Linked DNA regions of Mus musculus. Each later gene encodes a partner of the first gene's protein in a complex. Links are inferred from orthologs where the notes say so. Each region holds a gene or a part of one and is shown in the gene's direction. Other genes may lie near its edges. The genes, in order: Cltc, Arrb1, Cltb and Gtse1.

Region 1 (4,886 bases):
GCCCTTGTCAATAAATTGAAATGTGGTGATCTGTTCATGGTGAAGCTCTTACATCCCAAATTCTGAGATTGAAAGTGCAATTCTATTAAGCTACTGACATTTCTGTAATAAAACAGTAACTCCCTTAGGATTTTAATTTAAAATTTGCCCACCTCTAGAAAAGGACAAAGTCTTATGAAAACAATCTTTTCAAACATTGCAGGACAGGGCACATTCAAGTGCTTAAGTGAAATTATGTAAACACAAAACATCCTAAATATGGTGGCAAGGCTCTTCTTCAAGGGTCTGTTGTCTGCCTTCTCACTTGCCTGGTTCTCCTCTCAGCCCAGATATGAAAGGCAGTATTTGGGGGGAATACTAAACGCAACTGAAATGACTAAGCAGATTTCTCTAAGCAAAACCGCTTACGCAAAATTATTGTACACCCAGTGGTTGTCTTATGTTCTTTAGGTTGAAAGGGGCATTGAAAGTAATTTCCTCAAGAACTTTCAGGGGGATTAAGACGAACTATGTGGAAATGAACTCTCTAAATCTTCCTTATATTGGTGCTATTGTGAGACATTACACCTTACACTTTAGCAAGAGCTCTGGGGCGGCTATTAATCGCTAATGAATGCTGCAGATAGCTTACTGCTGTAGGAAGGCAAGGTGCTCCGGTTTTGAAGGGCTTATTACATCGCCCACCCTGTAACTACAGGTAATGGTCCTACTACCATGTATGACTAACAGTCAATCCCTCAGCTCCAAGACAGCCCCTGAGGTTTCTTTCCCTAGCCATCCTTTGATCTACATCTTTTAAGCTTTTTCCTGTGGCCGAACCCTCCAGTTCTCGAAGGCCAAACTGATCTCTACACTAGGCTGATCTAAGTCCACCAAAATGTCCGCGGAAGCGCTCTCCAGGGGCCAGCAGGAGATTCTTCTCCCATGGCCTTCCCTGTCCTTTGAGATGGTTTATCTGAGGATCTCGAGGAGCCATCCGGCTCTCCTGGCGTCAGAAGGGCGTGCGTCAGGGCAAGGAAGCTTGCAGCTCAGTACGGTCCCCCTCCCTGAGGTGTCAGCAACCACCCACTGCGCGAAACCAGGCGGGGGAGGCGCGCCGCAGCCAGCCGCCCGAGGAGCTCTGCGGCGGGGCCGTTTCCCTTAGTCACCGCGGCACCCACGCCGCGGCCTTCTCCTCAGGCACTCGGTGTCCTCACGCCCAGGCCGCCACGCCGGCAGGGGGCTCAACCGCCACCTCCTCCCCAGGAGCAGCGGCCAGTATCTTGCCTCTCGCCCTCCACTCTGGCAGCCTTCAACCGACCCTTCCCTACCCGCATCACGTGCACCGGGAAGTGCGTGGGTGGGTCTTACAGCGCCTACGGAAATGACGTAGTTCGCCCCGAGTCGCATGATGTGGCAAAATGTTAAAAAAAAAAAAAAGTGGGAGGGGGGAGGGGAGAAGGGAGAAACCGGAGCCTGGGGAAAGTGATGAGTCTAGAAAAAGTAGTCCCTCGGTTCCTCTGTTTCCCCGCAGCCGCATCAGCGAAGAGCGCTCCGCGCACTGCGTCCCTGAATCCCTACGCCCGACCGCGGCGCGGCGTCTGTGGAAGGCTACATAAGGCGGACGGCGTGAGGAGACTGGGCGGAGTTCTGCCTCGGGATCCTTCCGCAGGGCTCAGCCGTTTCCGGAGTCTGCGCTGCTCCCGGTTCCGCCATTGCGGCTCTCCCGGCCCCTGGAGCCTCCGCCCCCGACCCAAGCTCTCTCGTCTGCCTGCCAGTTCCCTGCGTCCCCGGAGAGTATCCCTCTGAGCCCAGCCTCCCCTCCCCTTCCCCGTCTCCTCCTCTCCCTTGGAGAGCCCGGGCAGGCACTGCCCTGCAGCCCCAGTGACAGGAGGAGACCATACTCCCCGACAGCGCCATGGCCCAGATTCTGCCCATTCGCTTTCAGGAGCATCTCCAGGTACGTGTGAGTCGGGGCTGCTGAGGGACTTTTCGAGGGTCGTGGGAAGGAAGAAGCTAGCGGCCTGGCCCGAAAGGGATCGAGAGAAGGGGAGTGGGGGGTGTCGGTATTTGGCATAGGTGGAGGAAGGACAGTGTCTTAAAAGCTTAAAGGGTTAAATGATATGAGACTAGGATGGAAATGACGAATCGGAGTGCAAAGGGCGGCGAGGCCAGGCCTTACGTCTGACGACCTCTTATTCTGCTTCCTGGATTGCAAGAACTGCGCATACCAGACCCCCCTTCCCATTTTACTCAGTTCATTCATTTGGGTAGGGGCTAGGTGGGGGAGCTTCTCGCGCGTTTCTCCCAGAGCAAGATTTCTCGTTAACCCTGAGCGACGCGGGGCTGTCACCTTCCCTTGGTCTATTCCCATTTCTACATCGAGTCTGCACCCAGGAATTGTGTGGCGGGTGGGTTGGGGAGGAGCTGCATCCTCCCTCTGCAGCTCACCACTGAGAAAGGCACCTTGGGGTTAGGGTAGCAGTGGCTCGTGGCTTGCCTTCCCTGAATCTATAAGGAACCGAAGGTCACACTCACTGAAGGAACAGAAAGAAGATAGAGGGGCGGCAAGGGGCGGTGTCAGTCTCGGTGCCTGGGGTCAAGGTCCCAAGGGGAACGCGCATATTTTTCCTTTCTTGGTTTCTTCAGAGGGTTAGTGTAGCTCTTAGGCTCACTTTGATTCTTGCAGGTAGGGAGAGTTATTTAGAGGTTATTTATGGCCTTTTGGAATTTAGCAGGTAGTTGTGGGATTACGGCAGGAGTATGTCTCACAGGACTGCGTGGAATTCATCAGAGCCGGGTTTAAGTGCATACCTGCTCTGTGTCAGTACCTAACAAGTTGATCTGTAACTGGCTCCTTTTTAATAGTCTGGGGCGTCCCCCCTCCGCCCCCCACTGCACCTTATCCTGGAGTCAATACACCATTGTCTAACCTGGCAACCTGCCAGCAGTTGGCCTAGGCAGGTGACTGTTGGAGGGCTTCGCTGAATTACGCTTCTTCTGAACTGCTGATTTTCCTGGTTCACTTGTCCCGACTCTTTGACATCATAATTTATTCATATTAATTTACTTTCCCTCAAGTATCCCCATAAAGAAATCTGCTTTCAGCTGCATCTTCTGAAGGGCTAATTTCATGAGGGGGAGGTGCAGTGATCCAGTTCAAATATTGGTAACTTATTGAGTGCTTTATCATTGAAGGCAATCTGATTTACTTTTCTTCATTGATATACATAAAAGATGTTTGATAATAAAGAGGGTTAACTAAAATTTAGCACCAAGTAAAATAATTAAATATTTCTTTATAGACTTTACCGTGTTGCTAACATTAACGAATTATTTTACTTTAGGACTTCTTTGCCCATTAAATGACTTGAATACATTTTCTTCAGTCATCACTAGTTTTCAAATAATTCATCTGATTTTGGCAATAAGATCTCTATTTTGTAAAGGTCTGAAAAATGTCAAGTGACAATGCTGACAGAGAAGTTAATTTTTGTTCTCAATTCAAGCTTGAGTTTCCTCTGTTAAGAATATAAAGTGTTAGGAAAGCACTGTTCTGGATGTTAGTGGACAGTGGGCTCTTCAGGCTGAGTTAAGAGGGAGGCAGCCTGTGTACACTAACAACAGAAAAAAATCTAGCTTTAATTAATTGCTTGCTTTAATTAATTTGACCATGATTTGGGTTGCTGTTTTTTCTTCTCCCATCTTTGGGATTAACACTTGGCCACACTGAAGTTACCAGAAATAGCTTTCTGCAAATATGTGTATAAACCTTACACAAAAGAAGCAAAGACAACTGCTGATGACATGACCGTTGCTGGTGATTTGAGTAATAGTTTTTCATTTCTATTAAACTCAAGACCAGAATTGTTGAATGGTCTTACAGACTGGAATCCAAACTTGTCACTAATTAAAAACAGATTTAATGCAGGTGTGGCATGTGAGTAGCAATTTCTGCAAATATTTGAAACTGTTTTCCAAAATTTAAAGATTTTGAATATTTATAAAATAGCTTTACAGATACACTTGAAGATCTCGGATGCTTATTTTCTGGAGGACCTCATTACACTTTAGGCTTTGGCTGGTAGGATCCCACTCTAGTAGATAGAGTCAGGTGTGCCGAAAGGATAATGTATCTTCTGATCTCAGACTTTTATTCCCTCTCTTTTAACAAACAAACATACAGTGTAAGGATTATTCCAGTTGTCATCTTAAGTCTTTGATTGCCCAGCCTCTGCCATTCTGCTTAGAAAACAACTTTCTAAAGCATTTAGGAGAACTGGGAAGTAAGGAGTGTAGAGTTCACTTGTGAAAGTTAACAGCAAACTCTAAATTAATTTATTTTAAACTTTTTATGAGAATGTTGCAAATAAAAAATTGCTATTTATTTTCATATCCCTTTGTGCATTTGTTTAGATGAAGATCTGTCATCAAGGCTTGGAACTATATCACATAATTTTGATATTTTATGTGATGAAGGAATTTTTGTTGAGTTGCAGATTCTGAACAAATTCTAGGCTGCAGAACTCAGAAAGTTCAGTGCCAGCCAGCAAAACCCTGTCTCAAAGGACAAAACAACAAAACCCCACTGCCTGCAATTTTCAGTTCCTGGCATATTAAGCATTTTGCAATTGACACATTTTGTTGAGCATTTGGATACTTTTAATTTTCATTTACAAATCTTTCCACCCCGTTCTTCTCTCTTTGATCCATAAACACAGACATGCAATGTGTTGCTGAGTTGAATAGTAGGATTCTTAAGAAGGTTTTGGTTTCAAAGAGAAAGCAGTAATAGATGCTTAGGAAGACTAGAAGAGCATGCCACCTGGAAGTAGACTCTAATCTACCGTGGAAATAGTTTAAATGAAGACCGATTCCCTCCCCCCCCACCCCCCCCAGAATTTTCT
Region 2 (4,415 bases), on another chromosome or scaffold:
ACATCTACTCCACTGAGAATTCATGGCTAACTGTGGTCAATTACCCTTGCTCCCAGACCACACGTAGGGGTGGGTGTGTCTCAGACATGATTGTGTGATCTCCTGTTGTCACACAATGACTGTGTCACTCATCCTATGAGATCTGAGTGAATCAAGAGACAATTCCATCTCTTCAGTGTCCAACAGCAAAGAGTTTGAGTCCAGACTTGTGGCCAGGCTTGTGCAGTATACTGGAGTCCCAGCAGGGAGACAGTAGTGTCCTTACTAGTCACAGCCTAGCAAGGCTGAGTCCCAGGTCCTTCCAGCCACATCCAGTATGGCTTCATGGAAGGCTGACTGTATCTGGCTTGTACCAGTCCATCACACCCAGGCCCTTCCCACTTCACAGCTGGCAACATGACCAGTAAGATGTGGTTGTGTTTTCTGGAGACACTCATAATTTTAGGGAGGCTCTGCTAAGATATGCCACCCTTAGCAGTGAGGAGCCTTCAGGGCTACGTTTAATCAGTCTTTTAATTCTGTTTATCATCCAGTGGCTAAGGGGATGGGTGATTGAGCCAGAGTCTTTCTGCACTTACTGCCAATAGCTGTGCAGCCTGAGGCAAGAGGCTAATCTCTGAGTGCCTAAACCTAGGGCATCTTAATAATAGGGCTGTAGTGAAGAGGATCGCAGGAGTTGTTCTAAGGAGGGGCTTGGTACACTCTGTATCATGCAAATGCCCGTTCTTGTCCTCAACCTGTGTACCAGGGACAGTGTCAGGGAAGGCCTGGTCACCAACAATGACTGGTGACCAGCTCTTTCACAGGCACACACAGGAGGTGTCAGCGTCTGCCTATGGTGTGGACAGCTCCTGAAACCTGTGGGTGGCAGAGAGGCGGGTGGGCAGGACTGGGAGAAAATTGGAAAGGGTGGTGTCAAGAGGCCATGATGATTTGAGATGGGCAGAGCCCCAGGCCACTTTGGTTACCCACTGACCATGGTGTGAGTCCCCAGCGGGCATGGTGCCCAGCCCATGGTCTCCCCAGGCCTCAGACGGACAGGGCAGCAGGTCTTTCTCTCTGAGGCACTCACCGAGCTCGCTGGACGGGGTGTGTGTTTCAGTGATGTGGCCGTGGAGCTGCCTTTTACCCTAATGCACCCCAAGCCTAAGGAGGAGCCCCCACATCGGGAAGGTGAGTAGGACCTGTGGGCCACTGGGGTGGGGTTTACCAGCCTCCCTGTTACCCCACTGCTCTGCTTCTTTCTGGGTTAACCTCCAGCCCAGAGTCATCCTTTCCCCAGCTCCCAGTCTTCTGCAGGGCCTACAACACAACTATTATTTGCTTTTGACCCAACTAGGGGGGCAGAGAGCCCTGACTGCTATTCTCCATGGGACAGGGAGGTTCGGAGTGGAGGACAAGCCACACTGGTGGATTTTAATTTTAAAAATTATTATGATTTAAAAATATTTATTTTTATTTTATGTGTATGGGTATTTTGCCTGCATGTATGCCTGTGTACTATATACATGCAGTACCTTCAGAGGCCAGAAGAGGGCGTCAGATCCACTGCGACTGGAGTTACAGATGGTTGTTAGACATCCTGTGGGTACTGGGAACTGAACCCACAACCAGAAGACCCAGTACTCTTAACTGCGGAACCATGCTCAGTCCCCATATTAGTTGAGGGTTTTTTTTGGTTTGGTTTTTGTTGTTGTTGTTGTTGAGACAGGGTTTCTCTGTATAGCCCTGACTGTCCTGGAACTCACTTTGTAGACCAGGCTGGCCTTGAACTCAGAAATCCGCCTGCCTCTGCCTCCCAAGTGCTGGGATTAAAGGTGTGCACCACCACACCCGGCATTAGTTGAGTTTTTAAGGAGGTAACAGATTGACTACATTCCATTGCAAGGGATGTTACAGTCCCTCTCACAAATGGAGTCTGCCTATGAGTAGTCGGTGAGATGCCGCAGATGGCACTCTGAATTCAGAGAGGTTACAGTGTGAAAAAAAAAACAAAAACAAAAACAGGGCAGTGTGATAACACATGCCCATAATCTCAGCAGAGGGAAGTGTGTGAGGTAGGAGGATCACGTTTGAGGCCAGCCAGGGCTGCAAAATGATCTTAGGGTAAATGGAACTCAGGGAAGCAAAAAGTGAATGTGTCTCACGTTGGAGACCTGCTTCCTGCAGGGTGTTCATTGGGCATGGATGCCTCCCTCCCACATCTGCTGGTTTTTGACCTGGGAGGCTTCTCACTCACCTTCCTTCCTTGCCCTCCCCATCTTATCTAGAGAGTCTGAGGAGTGTGTGTGTGTGTGTGTGTGTGTGTGTGTGTGTGTGTGTGTATGTGCGTGTGGTCCCTGTCCCATCCCTCACCTCTCATCCCACACCCCACTTACCCCTGGGTACCTCACAAGCCTTGTATATTTTCAGTTCCAGAGAGCGAGACTCCAGTAGACACCAATCTCATAGAGCTTGACACCAAGTAAGCTGAACCTTCCTGCCTGTGCTGTCTGGGGAGGGGCTGGAGGTGGGACGGGAGAGGTGGAGGGGTCATTTGCATAAATGTTAATCAACCTCTGAGGAGCAGCTGGTCTAACCTGTCTGCTGAGAGCCACCTCTGCTCACCTCTTCAGCAACCTGCTTGCCTGCATGTGACTTGAAGGACCCTCCATGCCTGTTCCTCTTCCTCCTGCATTGGTGGGGTCTGTCTTCCTTGTACGTCCGTCAGTCAGTCAGTCCGTCCGTCTGCAGCACCCACCCAGCTGGCTGACACGGGGCTGGTTCAGACTCTGGGGCTCCCCTCTCTTACCCGACCAAGCCAGTTGGAGGCTGCCTGTGGGGTGGAGAAGGTGTCTGGGTGCTGTCACTCTTGCGGCCTGAGGACCAACCGATTCGGACTCCCCTGCGGTGGAAGGCCATGGGGCACCAAACAATGGCCAGAGGAAGAGGACCTGGTTCAATGGCTTGAATCGCCTCTGGGGCCAGGTGGCTTTCTCCTTCCAGCTTCCCAAACCTCCTTTCCTTGATTCTTTGGTGAGATCTGAGAAACAGAGGTTTGATGTTGCCCTGAGGAAACCCATTCAGCTGACTGAATTCAATGGGGGCCAGGGACTTCTGCCTCTGCCTGGGCCAAAGGGTCATGGTGGAAAGAAAGAAACAGTCCTTAGTCCTGCAACCTTAAACCAGGCACCTTTCCCCATCACTCTGTCCTCATATCCTCACCATCTTCCAAGCCCCGTTCCAAAGTCCCTCTCCAACCTAGGACTCCGGGGATGTGGGTTAGATCTTCTAGGAGAAAGACCTGTTCTCCTTCCTTAGAACCCAACACCAACTTCCTGGTTGAAACAGTTACCCTCCCTAAAGCAGTCTTGGTAGTTTGATTTGGAGGGGTGAAATAGGGTTTCTTGGGCTTGTTCTTTGGGGATTCCGACGCAGAGCCACATTGCTCCCCCTACTTACCTTCTCCATCTCCCCAGGAACAGGGTTGCTTTTCTAGCCCTTATGCACTGAGAGGCAAGCTTTTTGCAGTTTATTTGTGAGAACCCCCACAGCCATCAGTGGGCTTGTAAATGGGCCAGCCAGGCACGCCTTTCTGCCTGAGGTCATCCCAGAGACCCTGGAGATCAGGGGTTCTCTCTTGAGTCCTCCCATCGTTTGGCCAGGCCTCTGGATCTGCCTGTCGTCTACCTCTGCAAACACACGGCATTTTCCTTGTCTCTCCCACTAGTGATGACGACATTGTATTTGAGGACTTTGCTCGCCAGCGGCTGAAAGGCATGAAGGATGACAAGGACGAAGAGGATGACGGCACCGGCTCTCCGCACCTCAACAACAGATAGACTAGGGCCGGCCTCAGCCCGGCAGCTCCAGGTTCACTCTCGCACTCGGATGCTTTCTCGTCTCCTTCCCATTCTGGTTCTTCCTTTTGTTCTTCCAGTTTCTACCAAGGGGCCCCAGTGGTCTTCCAAGTCTCGGTGATGGGCCTCTCGCATCACCACGCCAGCAGGACCACGTCCTCAGCCATCTCTCTGCAATCACCTGCCCACCTCCTTCTCATGCTCATTCCCAGGAAGGCCACACTGCCTGGCCTTGGGATTTGGCTTGAGATGGGGAGCAGAAAGGGGAGGGTGGGGCCTGAAGGCACAATGATGATGGGTGTGAAGATGTGGAGGGGGTGGGCAAGATGGCTCAAGACACACAAGAAGATGTCTGTAGTCCCAGTAGGTGACAGTTTTGGCAGCTAAATGATGACCAGATTGAAGGTGGGAGAGGGCAGGACTGTGAATAGATTCTCAATGCTTTTTTGTGTGTGTGTGTGGTCCAGGGCCACTAGAGACTCCTCCCCCTCCATCCTCATCCTTGGTCCATGCCCCTATGTCTCATGGGGGAGGCACATAGACCCCAGGAATGAAGAGCAGTGGACTGACTTTCTA
Region 3 (4,951 bases), on another chromosome or scaffold:
GGGCTTGGTGGCGCATGCCTTTGATCCCAGCACTCGGGAGGCAGAGGCAGGCGGATTTCTGAGTTCGAGGCCAGCCTGGTCTACAAAGTGAGTGCCAGGACAGCCAAGGCTACACAGAGAAACCCTGTCTCGAAAAACCAAAATAAATAAATAAATCTGCTGGGCAGGGCAGTGGTGGCCCATGCCTTTAATCCCAGGACTTGGGAGGCAGAGGCAGGCAGATTTCTGATTTCGAGGCCAGCCTGGTCTACAGAGTGAGTTCCAGGACAGTCAGAGCTACACAGAGAAACCCTGTCTCGGAAAACCAAAAAACTGAGTGAACAGAGTTGACTGGAGAGGGAGCAGAGGTCCTAAACCAATTCAATTCTGAAAAACCACATGAAGGCTCACAGCCATTTGCACAGCTACAGTGTCCTCACATAAATATATAAATAAATAAAAAAATTTCAAGTGGGGGAGGGGAACTGTTAGGGAGGGGATACCTGGGAGGCGTGAGATATGTGAGGGGGGAGCATATGCTCAAAATGCATTACTTGTTTGTATAAAATGACAAAGAGGGCTGTAGAGATGGCTCAGTGGTTAAGAGCACTGACTGCTCTTCCAGAGGTTCTGAGTTCAATTCCCAGCAACCACATGGTGGCTCACAACCATCTGTGATGTGATCTTGGTGCCTTCTTCTGTCCTACAGGCATATATGCAGGCAGAACACTGTATACATAATATATATATATGTATATGTATATATATATATATATATATATACACATATACACACACACACACACACACACACACACACACATATATACATATATATATATATATAAATTGACAAAGACTAAAAGAGAGGTACTCACCTGGCAGTGGTGGTGCTCGCCTTTAATCCCAGCATCCTAGAGGCAGAGACATGTGGATCTTTATGAATTTGAGGCCGGCCTTATCTACAGAGTGAGCTCCAGGATCAGCCAGGGATACATGGAGAAACCCTGTCTTGAAAAACAAAAACACAACCAAAAAAGATACTGTATTTTTGAAAAAGGTCTCCGGGTAGTGGTGGCGCATGCCTTTAATCCCAGCACTTGGGAGGCAGAGGCTGTTAGATTTCAGAGTTCGAGGCCAGCCTCGTCTTCAGAGTGAGTTCCAGGACAGCCAGGGCTATACAGAAAAACAGTCTCGAAATACAAAAAAAAAAAAAAAAAAAAAAAAAAATCACTACTTTGAAGCCAGCCTCAGCTATACAAGAATTTGAGGTCAAACAGGCTACTAAAAAACAAAACAACAACAACAAAAACCGCGAAAGTAATTGCAATGTGCAATGCGAGTTTGGCATACAATCTGCTGTCACAATACGTATATTAATTACCAAAGAAAAAAGCAGGCTCCACCTGTACTGTACTGAGTAATCAACGGGAACCTAACCAATAATGGGACAAACTGACCCTCTGCTCTAAGAACTAGAGAAAGAGCTCAAATTGAAAGACAAAACAATCAGCCAGTTAGTTGCCTTAAGGAACATCAATGTCACCAGACAGGGAGAAAGAGGAACAGTCCCTGATTTCAGGGGCTCATCACACAGATAGGGCGGCGGGATGCTTTACTCAGTCCTGAGAGAACAAGGCTCTGCTGTGCGCGCCTGGCACTCAAGCCTTTCCCAGCCTCAGCTCCCTCCTCCTACGCAGGAAGAGTACTCTTGTATCACGCAGCTCACAAAATCAGCTCTGGGAGAAACTTTTCGGTTCAATGCACCCGGTGCCAGCCCAGTGCTGCTGGCACGCTCTGGAGCCGAAGGTGGGCTTCGGGGGCTCGAACCGAGGGCGGGGCGACCACCCAGCCCCGCGGGCCCCGCCCTCGGCCGCTGACGTCACCGCATTCCCGCCGCGACTCCTCCCGCCGCCGCTGCAGCCGCAGTGACAGGCAAGCCGGGCGGGTGACGGGAAGTGCGGGCCGCGGGCGCGGGCGGGAGGTGACAGCAGCCACGCGGGGAAGATGGCTGAGGACTTCGGCTTCTTCTCATCGTCGGAGAGCGGGGCCCCGGAGGCCGCCGAGGAGGACCCAGCGGCCGCCTTCCTGGCCCAGCAGGAAAGCGAGATTGCTGGCATCGAGAATGACCCGGGTTTCGGGGCACCTGCCGCCAGCCAGGTGGCCTCTGCGCAGCCGGGACTCGCGAGCGGGGGTGAGTCAGCGCAGCGGCCTGGAACCGGGGAGGCTGAGGCCACCACCGGGGGCGGGAGGCCCAGTCTCGGTCAGACCCGGCCTGGGTCCCTGCTGTACTCTGAGTCCGGCTATCCAGGGTGACCAAGGGTACCTCGGGGGGCTGTGTGTATCCGTGAGGCCTGGGAAAAGAGGAAGGAGCCGGGAGATGAGTTGGAATCTGCGCTGAGACTGGATCTGCTGACTCTGGGGACAGGAATTTAGTCATGACATTTCATCCCCAGGCCAGCTTCTCCACCCTGGCTCTGGAACCCTCCCCCTGCTCAGTTCTGAGACTGTCCCAGTGTCCTAGCTAAGTGATACAGGTGTGGGACGGACACGTCCTCCTGACGTTAGCGTTAGCGTTCCTTTCTGCAGGGAAGCAGGGGGCGCTCAGAGAACTCGCAGCTCATCCTTTGGGGATCACCTGCAGTCCTGCAGCAGTGCGGGAGACAATGTTAATTACATATAATAATTTCATACACGTTACTGAACCCATTTTAGAACTGGCTTCAAAGGGTACACTATTAAAACAACTAGGAAGTAGCAATAAAGAATTCAACCCCTTCTTTCGGATGCTGAATTCTTCCTGTCCAGACCTCACAGTCCTTCATGGGCCCGACTGTAAGTCTAGGCAGGGGCACAAATGGCCAAGAGCTGTGCCCTTCCTGTTTGTAACTGTTTGTTTAGTGGATTTACAAAGGTGGCCCGGACCTCTGCGTGTGGCTTCAGACATAAGGGTTCAGGACCTTTTTCCTGCATTGTTATGTTTATCATTGATACTTCTGCCCCAAGGAACAATTTCTTATAAATATATTTAAATATTTAGTACAAATATGGACCTTCATGGTGACCCTCCTAGTAGACCTTGTTATTTTTTGGTGTCATGTTAAAGAGGTTTAATGGTCCTGTTGGAAATAAATATTGTATGTATACATTCATCTTTCTTTCCTTCCACACTTGCTGTGTTGCCGTCCCCACTGGGAACACAGAAGGAAGAAACTGTATCTATGGCCCAGCGTTTGAAGAAACTCTGACATAAGTGTAATAAGCCTTTTGTAACATACACGGAACTGGAGTTTGAGGGGCTATCAGGATGGCTTGTCAAGTAAATGTAAATCAGCCCAGCCTGGTGACACCTGAGCTCACGCCCTGGAACCCTCATGGCGGTAGATAGAACTCACTCCCACAAATTGTCCCCCCGACCTCGCATACATGCCTGCACCACACACACACACACACACACACAAACACACACAAGTAAAGAAAATATAAATAATAATAATTAAAAAGAAAAAACTGGAGTTTGAATGTCTTGCCTAGGGCCACACAGCCGTGAGTGATAGGTCTGGGGCTTGATTTCAGGCCTCCTAGTTATGATCTTCCAAAGGGCAGCTGTGCTGGTCTCCTTAGGAGATGATTGGATACAGCAGGGAGAAGCAGGGGCCTATCCAAGCCAGCCATGCAGCTCTGAAATAGCAGCTCTCAGTCCCTCAGCCCTTCATTGTCCCTGGGAACCTCCTAAGTTCCTGTATGGAACTCACTTGTCCATGGTCACCCCTTGGGAACAGTCCTTTCCCTCATTAGGAGGTCCCAAGTTGTTAGCAACTCAGGAGAAAGACAGATGCAGTTCCAGCTGAGGATAGCCACAGGAGCCTGGGATTTTGCAAGTTGTAGTCTTTCCTAGGGACTTACAGTCTGGGTGGGTAGGGCACTGACTAGCCCTAGATATGAGATAACCGGGAGGGAGACAGTGGTGATAACCCTTAGGGAAGCAGCCAGGGACTTGACCCTCTGAGGGTCTCCCGGACTCCATCAAGCTGCAGGTGCCCAGCTGCCCTTCTGAGTGGCAGTTTGGGGAACAAGGAGGTGCTTCAGGAGGGGAGCTCAGCGGGTGTTCAGGCATAAATAGAACAGACCTGATTCTCCTAAGCCTAGACAGTGGGAGGTACCCATCCTCCTCTGCGTTTGCAGGGAATGATAGGAGCCTGGGTGGTCTGAGGTGAACTGTCTGGGCAATTCTGGGAGTTGGAAAGAAGCTAGTTCTAACAGCAGCCACCAATGCACACCTCTGAGTCACCTCCCAGAGACAATGAGGTCTTCTGATAGCAGCTCTCGAGCCAAGTTCAATGCCGCTTCACTGCTGCTGGCTCTCAGGGGGGCCTGGGGAAAGCTGTGTCTGGCGTAGGCCTGAACCGGAACCCCACTGAGCCTTCCCTCTGGGCGGATCTGCAGCCGGCCTGAGCTGCGGATACTTTGTTTCCATTCATCAGCCTTGGGCAGTGCCCAAATGCTCTACACTTTCACACCCGTTAGCTGGGCTCTTGGCCTGCCTGTGACCAAGCACTGTGTAATCCTCTTGCCCCTGCTGGTCTCAGTAAGCTCACAGGAATGTTCTGGATCTTTTGCCATTATTCCTGAGGTGACCACACACCAAAAAGCTTATCCTTGGAACATGTTATTTGCTTTGCTGTATTTGTTCTGCGGGCTCTGTTGTAGACTCGGAATCATAAATGTGCAAGAGCCCTGTGGGATACAGGCTGGTATTTCTAAGAGTGGGTGTGTATGCAGTCCCAAAGACTGAAAGGAGGATGATGCTCATAGCCTTTTGGGACCACCCTTATTTAGAGAGCAGGCCACCTGTACTGTAGAAACCCTCCCAGAGTGGGTGGGATGAGAGCTGTCATAGTGAATCAGGATTAATCACTGCTTGACGATAAATAAGCTATAATTTATATCTGTGACACATAATTGACATGAG
Region 4 (5,204 bases), on another chromosome or scaffold:
TGCTTCTGTGACAGGGACATCCCTCCTGGAAGTTGATGCAGTTCCTACTTAAGTAGGGACTGATGGGCAGGTGGGAGTGGGGAGTGGGTTGGAGGTCTCCAAACCAGATCTTTGCTTAGCCTGCTCAGAGTCCCTGCAGTCTGCTGAGGACTGGACAGGTTTTGGGCATTCATTAAAACAATTGGTCCCGTTGACTACCCTCTCCTATGGGAACCTCTGAGCAGCTCCCAAGTGCCAGGTTTGGGTTGCGTCCTAGGGAGATGGGCTTCTCTAATCTTAGCTGGATGAGGCAGCAAGTCAAGAAATTGTGTAATCGCCATAGGATTTGAAGAGGTACTGTCTCCATATCAGGGAGCCTGGGGACAGGTGCCAAGGGGGAACCTCCTCATTAGTCCTCATTATGTATATGATTCCAAATAATACATGATTCAGCCAGAAGCGGAGTCTTGCTCTCTGTCTCTTTCAGAAAGCCTTCCACCCTGCCTGTGGGCTGGTGACAGTGCCTTCTCTTTGCCCCATAGCCCTTGGCACTTGCCCTTGCTATTGAACCACTTTGTGCTGTGATCTCTGGTATTCAATGGCTTCCATTGAATGCCTTGTCTGTAAAAGCTGGTATGTGTAGGCTTTCATGAAAGAAGGCATGCATCTGCCAGGGACAGGCGACTGATCTTAAAGGGAAATGTGTATGCGTCTGGAGAGATGGCTCCATGGCTGAGCACTTGCCGTTCTTCCAGATGACCAGAGATCAGTACCTAGCGCCCACGTAGAGCCTGTAAATCTAGCCTCAAGGGACCTGACACTCTCTTCTGGCCTCTGTAGGCACTTGCATACCTGTACATACGCACACGTCGGCAAAAAAAATAAAATAAAAATATTTTTAAAGCCAAGAGAAAATGTAAATAGCAGTGAGTTACTATGGGTATGCTTTCCTGAACATCTACTATGACCTGATATGATACAAAGAGAAGTGTTGGTGAACTTTACTGCCCAGTGGATAGCCCCAGGGATGCAGGGATTTCATGCACAGGAGCTAAAGGCTTGGACCACAGATGTGACTGCCACCGTGGTCTTGCGCCCCCCCCTCCCGCCCCCGGTGTGAATCAGAAAAGCCTGGCCCTTAAAATTCCAGATACACAGAACCGGTCACCATCCCCAGCCGGTGGGAACCTTGGGTCCGACGAAGCCAGCTTGCCTACTAGTGAGCCAGACCTGGCCGATGTGTAGAGACGACATCCAGACTTGATGGCCTTCTTGATGGCTATCCAGGCCAACCCTGGACTTCCTTGAACCAACAGACCTTGAAGCCAGTTTCCTGCTCATTGCTATCCAAAGGCATCTAACATATTGGCAGCAAAGAAGTGCTAAGACCGGCTCTGTCACTCTTCTGCATTTGAGGGAAAAGGGAGGGCCTGCACACCAGAGTACAGGAGAGAGGCCTTAGGCTGCAGAGAGTACCCGGACGCATGAGAAATACTGGAGATACCAGGACAAGCACCGGAGAGAGTCGGGACAAATTCCTTCCTAGCTGCCTGACCATCTCCTATGCCCCACCATCACCGCCTCGGTCCCTTTTGCTAGCACAGCCACAGGCGGAACGCTTAAATCCTTTCTGTGTCTCCGGAGGAGGAGAGTCATGGGAACTTCCGGTGGGAGTTTCCTGCGCCCAGCGGAGCCAATCCGTGGCTTGGAGTCTTGGGCATTGGTCTTGTACATCAGCACTCTGACTACATTTCCCAGGCTGCACCGAGAGCGTCTCCTGTTTAAACAGGCCAATCGGCGGCCGGCGGAGCCGGGCGCCGCGTTTAAACCGGTGCCGGAGACCCAGCTGGATTTTATGCCTTCCCGGTCAGAGGCGAGGGGTAAGGAGTGGTCGTAGCGCTGGTCCCGGAGAGTGGGGAACCGGGTCCCGAGCCGCAGAGATCCGGGGAGGACGGGCTGCGGTGCCAGCTCTGCAGCTCAGAGCCGGAAATCCGTTACCCCGCCTCGGGGCGCACAGTCTGGGAAACCGGGAGCAAGTTGGGGCTTGCCTCTGACTTGCCTAATTCTCCCGTCCCCTTGCTTCCTGCAGCGAACTCTGTGGAAGGAGGAGACGGCCGCGACGTGCCTTCGGCCAACCAGTGGAGAGAGAGGTGAAGATGGATGCTGGTAGTAAAAAAGAAGGTAAGTCCTTTCTGTTCGTAAGGCTGTTCTGGAGTGTATTCCTTTTCACCCCAAACAAAATAGAGAGGGCTACAACAGATCAAAGAAACGAAGTCTGGATTGATAAGCAAATAAATTTAACTGAAGTTACTTACAAGGACATTAGCAATTCATAGCTCCACCACCAAAGAAGCCCCTACAACATCCCCACCCACTTTTTAAAACCACTTATGTAATCTTAAGAGGGGCCTCCCCCCACTTCCAGAAGGGCTTTAAGTGGGGGTCTTAATCTTGTGAGGGTCTCCTGTGGTTAATCACAGTTGCTGTGCTATCAAAATGGCAACAGCTTTCTCTTGCACTGAGCGCAGAGTCCCTCACTCCACCCATTCCCCTGTGGTTCATTCTTTTCTCCTCCACTGACTTACTTTGTTTGCTTTTCCTTTCTTGCTTGTTTTTTTGAGCCCTCACTTTGTAACCCGGAACTCACTCTGTAGTCCAGGCTGGCCTTGAATTCATCGAGAGCCACCTTCGGAAGCCTTCTGAGTGCTGGCAAATTCTTTGAAAAGCAAGACTTGCTACGTGGTGGCTGCACACGCCTTTAATGCCCCAACTGCAGAGGCAGGCAGATCTCTTGAGTTTTATTTCAAGGCTAGCCTAGCCTGGTCGACAGAGTGAGTTCCAGAACAGTTAGTTCTCTTTGTAAACCTACACAGTGAAACCCTGTCTAAAAGAGGGGAGGAGGAATCTTTACGATGACTTGGTTTGTGTGTGTGTGTGTGTGTGTGTGTGTGTGTATGTGTATGTGTGTGTTTGGGGGTGGTAACCAAGGTGTGCAAGCACCTGAGGGTCCCAGGGCTTGAACTCAGGTCATCAGATGTGGTGGGAAGTAACTTTGCTCCCCTGAGTCTTAGAGGGTTGATGTGGGTTTACAATTATTTTCTCCCTTTTAGGGCTGAGCACTGGGCCTTTGCACCCTATCAGGTTATGTATCCTCTTTGACACCTTAGGAGACTGCTTAACACAGTGATGCCCATTATAAGAAGCACCTCTAATGACCTAGGCTGGCAGCCCAGTCCAGTAATTTATGAGCATAAACATAAAGGTTTAGAATGCAACTTAACCAGGCTGTAACGTGCATCCTTAATGAAGCCTATGACCTTCCTCCACCTTAGGATTTTGTCCTGAATTATGTAGGTTCCCTCCGGTGAAGCAGACCTTTAAGTACTACTGGGAAGTGGCTGGTCTGTGAGAGAGAGCTGAATAAATCCACAGTTGGTTCAACCAAGGCTATGCTAGGAATGTGGATAGGCAGAGCAAAATTTTTGTTGGTGGTTTTGGTTTAGGTTTTGGGGTTTTTTTTGTTTTTGTTTTTTGTTTTGTTTTCTTTTTTGTTTTGTTTTTTTGGAAAGGGACCCGAGGAGCAGTGGTGCTCCACAGATACTCGTTGGTCTCTACTGTGAGTTTGAACCATCTTTGAACTCATCGCTGATAGATGTCTCATAATTGAATTCCAGGCTAGCTAAAGTAGTTGATCTTTAGAAAATAGCCTGTGCCTGAAGGTGACTTAGCCTTCTTGGAAACCCTAGATTCTATCATAGAGGTAAGGTTCTGTGTTTTGATGGTGGATCAGTGCACTCAGAGTGGCTCCTGGAACTTGAGAGTGGAAATGGGAAATAAGAAGGACTTGAGGTGCCCATGACAATTGATTGAATTCAGGCAACAATCTATTACTTTACTGAGAGATTCATAGCAACTGTGAAACCAGTGCTTTCCTGTTTTATGTTACCCTAAAATAACTGAACTTTTTCTCCCCATCCCCACCCCAGACTTTCTTCTTTTGGAAGATGAAAAATTTGACTTCGATCTTTCCTTGTCTTCTTCAAGGTAAACATGCGTTTTCTTCCCTAACCCCTGGTATAGACAGGTTCATCAAAGCCCCTCGCCTAGATGCTGGTGTGATTTCAGCCCTGATAATCTTTTTCTTTAAACGCAGCACAAATGAAGATGATGAAGTCTTTTTTGGGCCTGTTGGACATAAAGAAAGATGCATTGCTGCCAGTTTGGACTTAAACCGCCGGGTTCCTGGGCAGCCTCTTGCCCCGGGCTCTGGTAGCCCTTGCACCTTGAGCCCTCTCACTGGGGAGAAGTTTGTGGAGGTGTACAAAGAAGCCCACTTACTGGCCTTACAGATAGAAAGTCACAGCCGAAGAGAGGTGGCCCAGGCTGCCACGCCCCAAAATCCTGTGAACCAGGGCAAGGAAACGTTTGTGCAGGACTCACAGTTAAAAGTAAGCCTCTTTGAGAAAGAACAGAAGAGAGACAGAAGTCCCATGTCACTTAAAAGAGAGACATTCTGCCTGCCATCCTCGAGGGTGCAACCGCCCATGGGGGAGCCCCAGCTCCTGGCTTCTCCAGGCCTGCTCAGCTCCCCTGTCTCAGCAGGCCCTGCTCAGACCCAGAGCAACCAGGGTCTGCCCTGTTCCTCTCAGCCGTTGCCAAGAGAATCAAGTACCTCCCAGCCTCCAAGTCAGGCTGGGCCTCAAAAGAGGATCACCAGCAAGCTCCAGCCACCTCGGGCTTTGCCTGTGAGAGGAAGAAACCTTCACCTGGCTACAGAGAAGGTAAACCCAGGCATAGTACAGTTGCGATGTACACAGCCTCCTTGCCTCTCTTCAGCCCATGCCCTGCCAGGGAAGCCTCTCGGGAGGGGCAGCGCTCTGAGCACTGGAAAGCCCAGAATAGAACCAGAATCTGGACAGCGAAGGCAGCAGTGATGGGGAGCTGCCCGGCCGGGCCCCTCTGGGGAGCACTGCCCCTCACATTGGGCTCTGGCTGTTCTCTATGGCTGGGACTTTATACTTCTTCTGCCCGGGTATTACATGAATGTCAGGGAAATGGCAGTTGACCAGTTGTGGGAAACTCAGGGCCCTGGAGGCCTAGTTGGGGGTAGGTAGAAAGGCAGATGTCAGAGATAACTTACTTCCAGGTTTGCAGAGGAGGGGGACGGAGGTCTCCCGAGAGGAAACACAGAGTAAAGGCTCGCTAGAGTGTAGGGCCAAGCAGCC

Evidence for each region.
Region 2: the proteins of Cltc (region 1) and Arrb1 are in contact, whole or in part, in a crystal structure (PDB 3GC3), measured with the Bos taurus proteins. The link is inferred for Mus musculus from reciprocal best matches to the Homo sapiens genes CLTC and ARRB1. Residues at the interface, in NP_776448.1 of Bos taurus: His12, Leu13, Gln14, Gln16, Asn17, Leu18, Gly19, Val50, Asn56, Asp57, Pro58, Ser59, Asn60, Ile62, Arg63, Arg64, Pro65, Ile66, Ser67, Ala68, Lys78, Ile80, Leu82, Lys83, Ala84, Thr87, Gln89, Phe91, Asn92, Ile93; in NP_776668.1 of Bos taurus: His30, Ile31, Asp32, Leu33, Val34, Glu35, Pro36, Pro96, Thr98, Arg99, Tyr173, Pro175, Lys355, Thr374, Asn375, Leu376, Ile377, Glu378, Leu379, Asp380.
Region 3: the proteins of Cltc (region 1) and Cltb are in contact, whole or in part, in a cryo-EM structure (PDB 6SCT), measured with the Sus scrofa proteins. The link is inferred for Mus musculus from reciprocal best matches to the Homo sapiens genes CLTC and CLTB. Residues at the interface, in NP_001139599.1 of Sus scrofa: Gln1291, Arg1293, Gly1294, Phe1296, Lys1326, Phe1327, Gln1354, Ala1355, His1356, Pro1382, Thr1383, Glu1413, Phe1414, Lys1415, Pro1416, Leu1417, Gln1444, Pro1446, Leu1447, Thr1473, Glu1474, Glu1475, Glu1503, Leu1504, Ile1505, Arg1508, Leu1533, Lys1535, Met1538, Lys1562; in XP_005661527.2 of Sus scrofa: Pro100, Ser102, Trp106, Gln110, Leu114, Ser121, Thr124, Glu125, Trp128, Arg129, Ala132, Asp135, Leu136, Trp139, Val147, Asn150, Lys151, Asn154, Arg155, Asp158, Tyr162, Glu191, Trp192, Lys194, Val195, Leu198, Cys199, Asp200, Phe201, Cys209.
Region 4: the proteins of Cltc (region 1) and Gtse1 are in contact, whole or in part, in a crystal structure (PDB 6QNP), measured with the Homo sapiens proteins. The link is inferred for Mus musculus from reciprocal best matches to the Homo sapiens genes CLTC and GTSE1. Residues at the interface, in NP_004850.1 of Homo sapiens: Val50, Arg64, Pro65, Ile66, Ser67, Ala68, Leu82, Lys83, Ala84, Thr87, Gln89, Phe91, Asn92, Ile93, Lys96, Ser97, Lys98, Asp143, Arg144, His145, Trp164, Gln182, Leu183, Tyr184, Ser185, Arg188, Lys189, Val190, Ser191, Gln192; in NP_057510.5 of Homo sapiens: Ser686, Arg687, Pro688, Leu689, Ile690, Asp691, Leu692, Met693, Ser707, Pro708, Val709, Val710, Gly711, Gln712, Leu713, Ile714, Asp715, Leu716, Ser718.

What each region holds. Positions count from the first base shown.
Region 1 is NC_000077.6:86,754,301-86,759,186, reverse strand, and holds the start of Cltc (clathrin heavy chain 1), read left to right. Parts: upstream 1-1,619; 5' UTR 1,620-1,897; coding exon 1,898-1,939; intron 1,940-4,886. UniProt on the Homo sapiens protein: Clathrin is the major protein of the polyhedral coat of coated pits and vesicles. Two different adapter protein complexes link the clathrin lattice either to the plasma membrane or to the trans-Golgi network.
Region 2 is NC_000073.6:99,597,389-99,601,803, forward strand, and holds part of Arrb1 (beta-arrestin-1), read left to right. Parts: intron 1-1,102; coding exon 1,103-1,173; intron 1,174-2,412; coding exon 2,413-2,464; intron 2,465-2,615; exon of another isoform or gene 2,616-2,967; intron 2,968-3,709; coding exon 3,710-3,821; 3' UTR 3,822-4,415. UniProt on the Homo sapiens protein: Functions in regulating agonist-mediated G-protein coupled receptor (GPCR) signaling by mediating both receptor desensitization and resensitization processes.
Region 3 is NC_000079.6:54,608,300-54,613,250, reverse strand, and holds the start of Cltb (clathrin light chain B), read left to right. Parts: upstream 1-1,877; 5' UTR 1,878-1,986; coding exon 1,987-2,173; intron 2,174-4,951. UniProt on the Homo sapiens protein: Clathrin is the major protein of the polyhedral coat of coated pits and vesicles.
Region 4 is NC_000081.6:85,857,936-85,863,139, forward strand, and holds the start of Gtse1 (G2 and S phase-expressed protein 1), read left to right. Parts: upstream 1-1,771; 5' UTR 1,772-1,859; intron 1,860-2,010; exon of another isoform or gene 2,011-2,068; 5' UTR 2,069-2,135; coding exon 2,136-2,160; intron 2,161-3,965; coding exon 3,966-4,023; intron 4,024-4,132; coding exon 4,133-4,760; intron 4,761-5,204. UniProt on the Homo sapiens protein: May be involved in p53-induced cell cycle arrest in G2/M phase by interfering with microtubule rearrangements that are required to enter mitosis. Overexpression delays G2/M phase progression.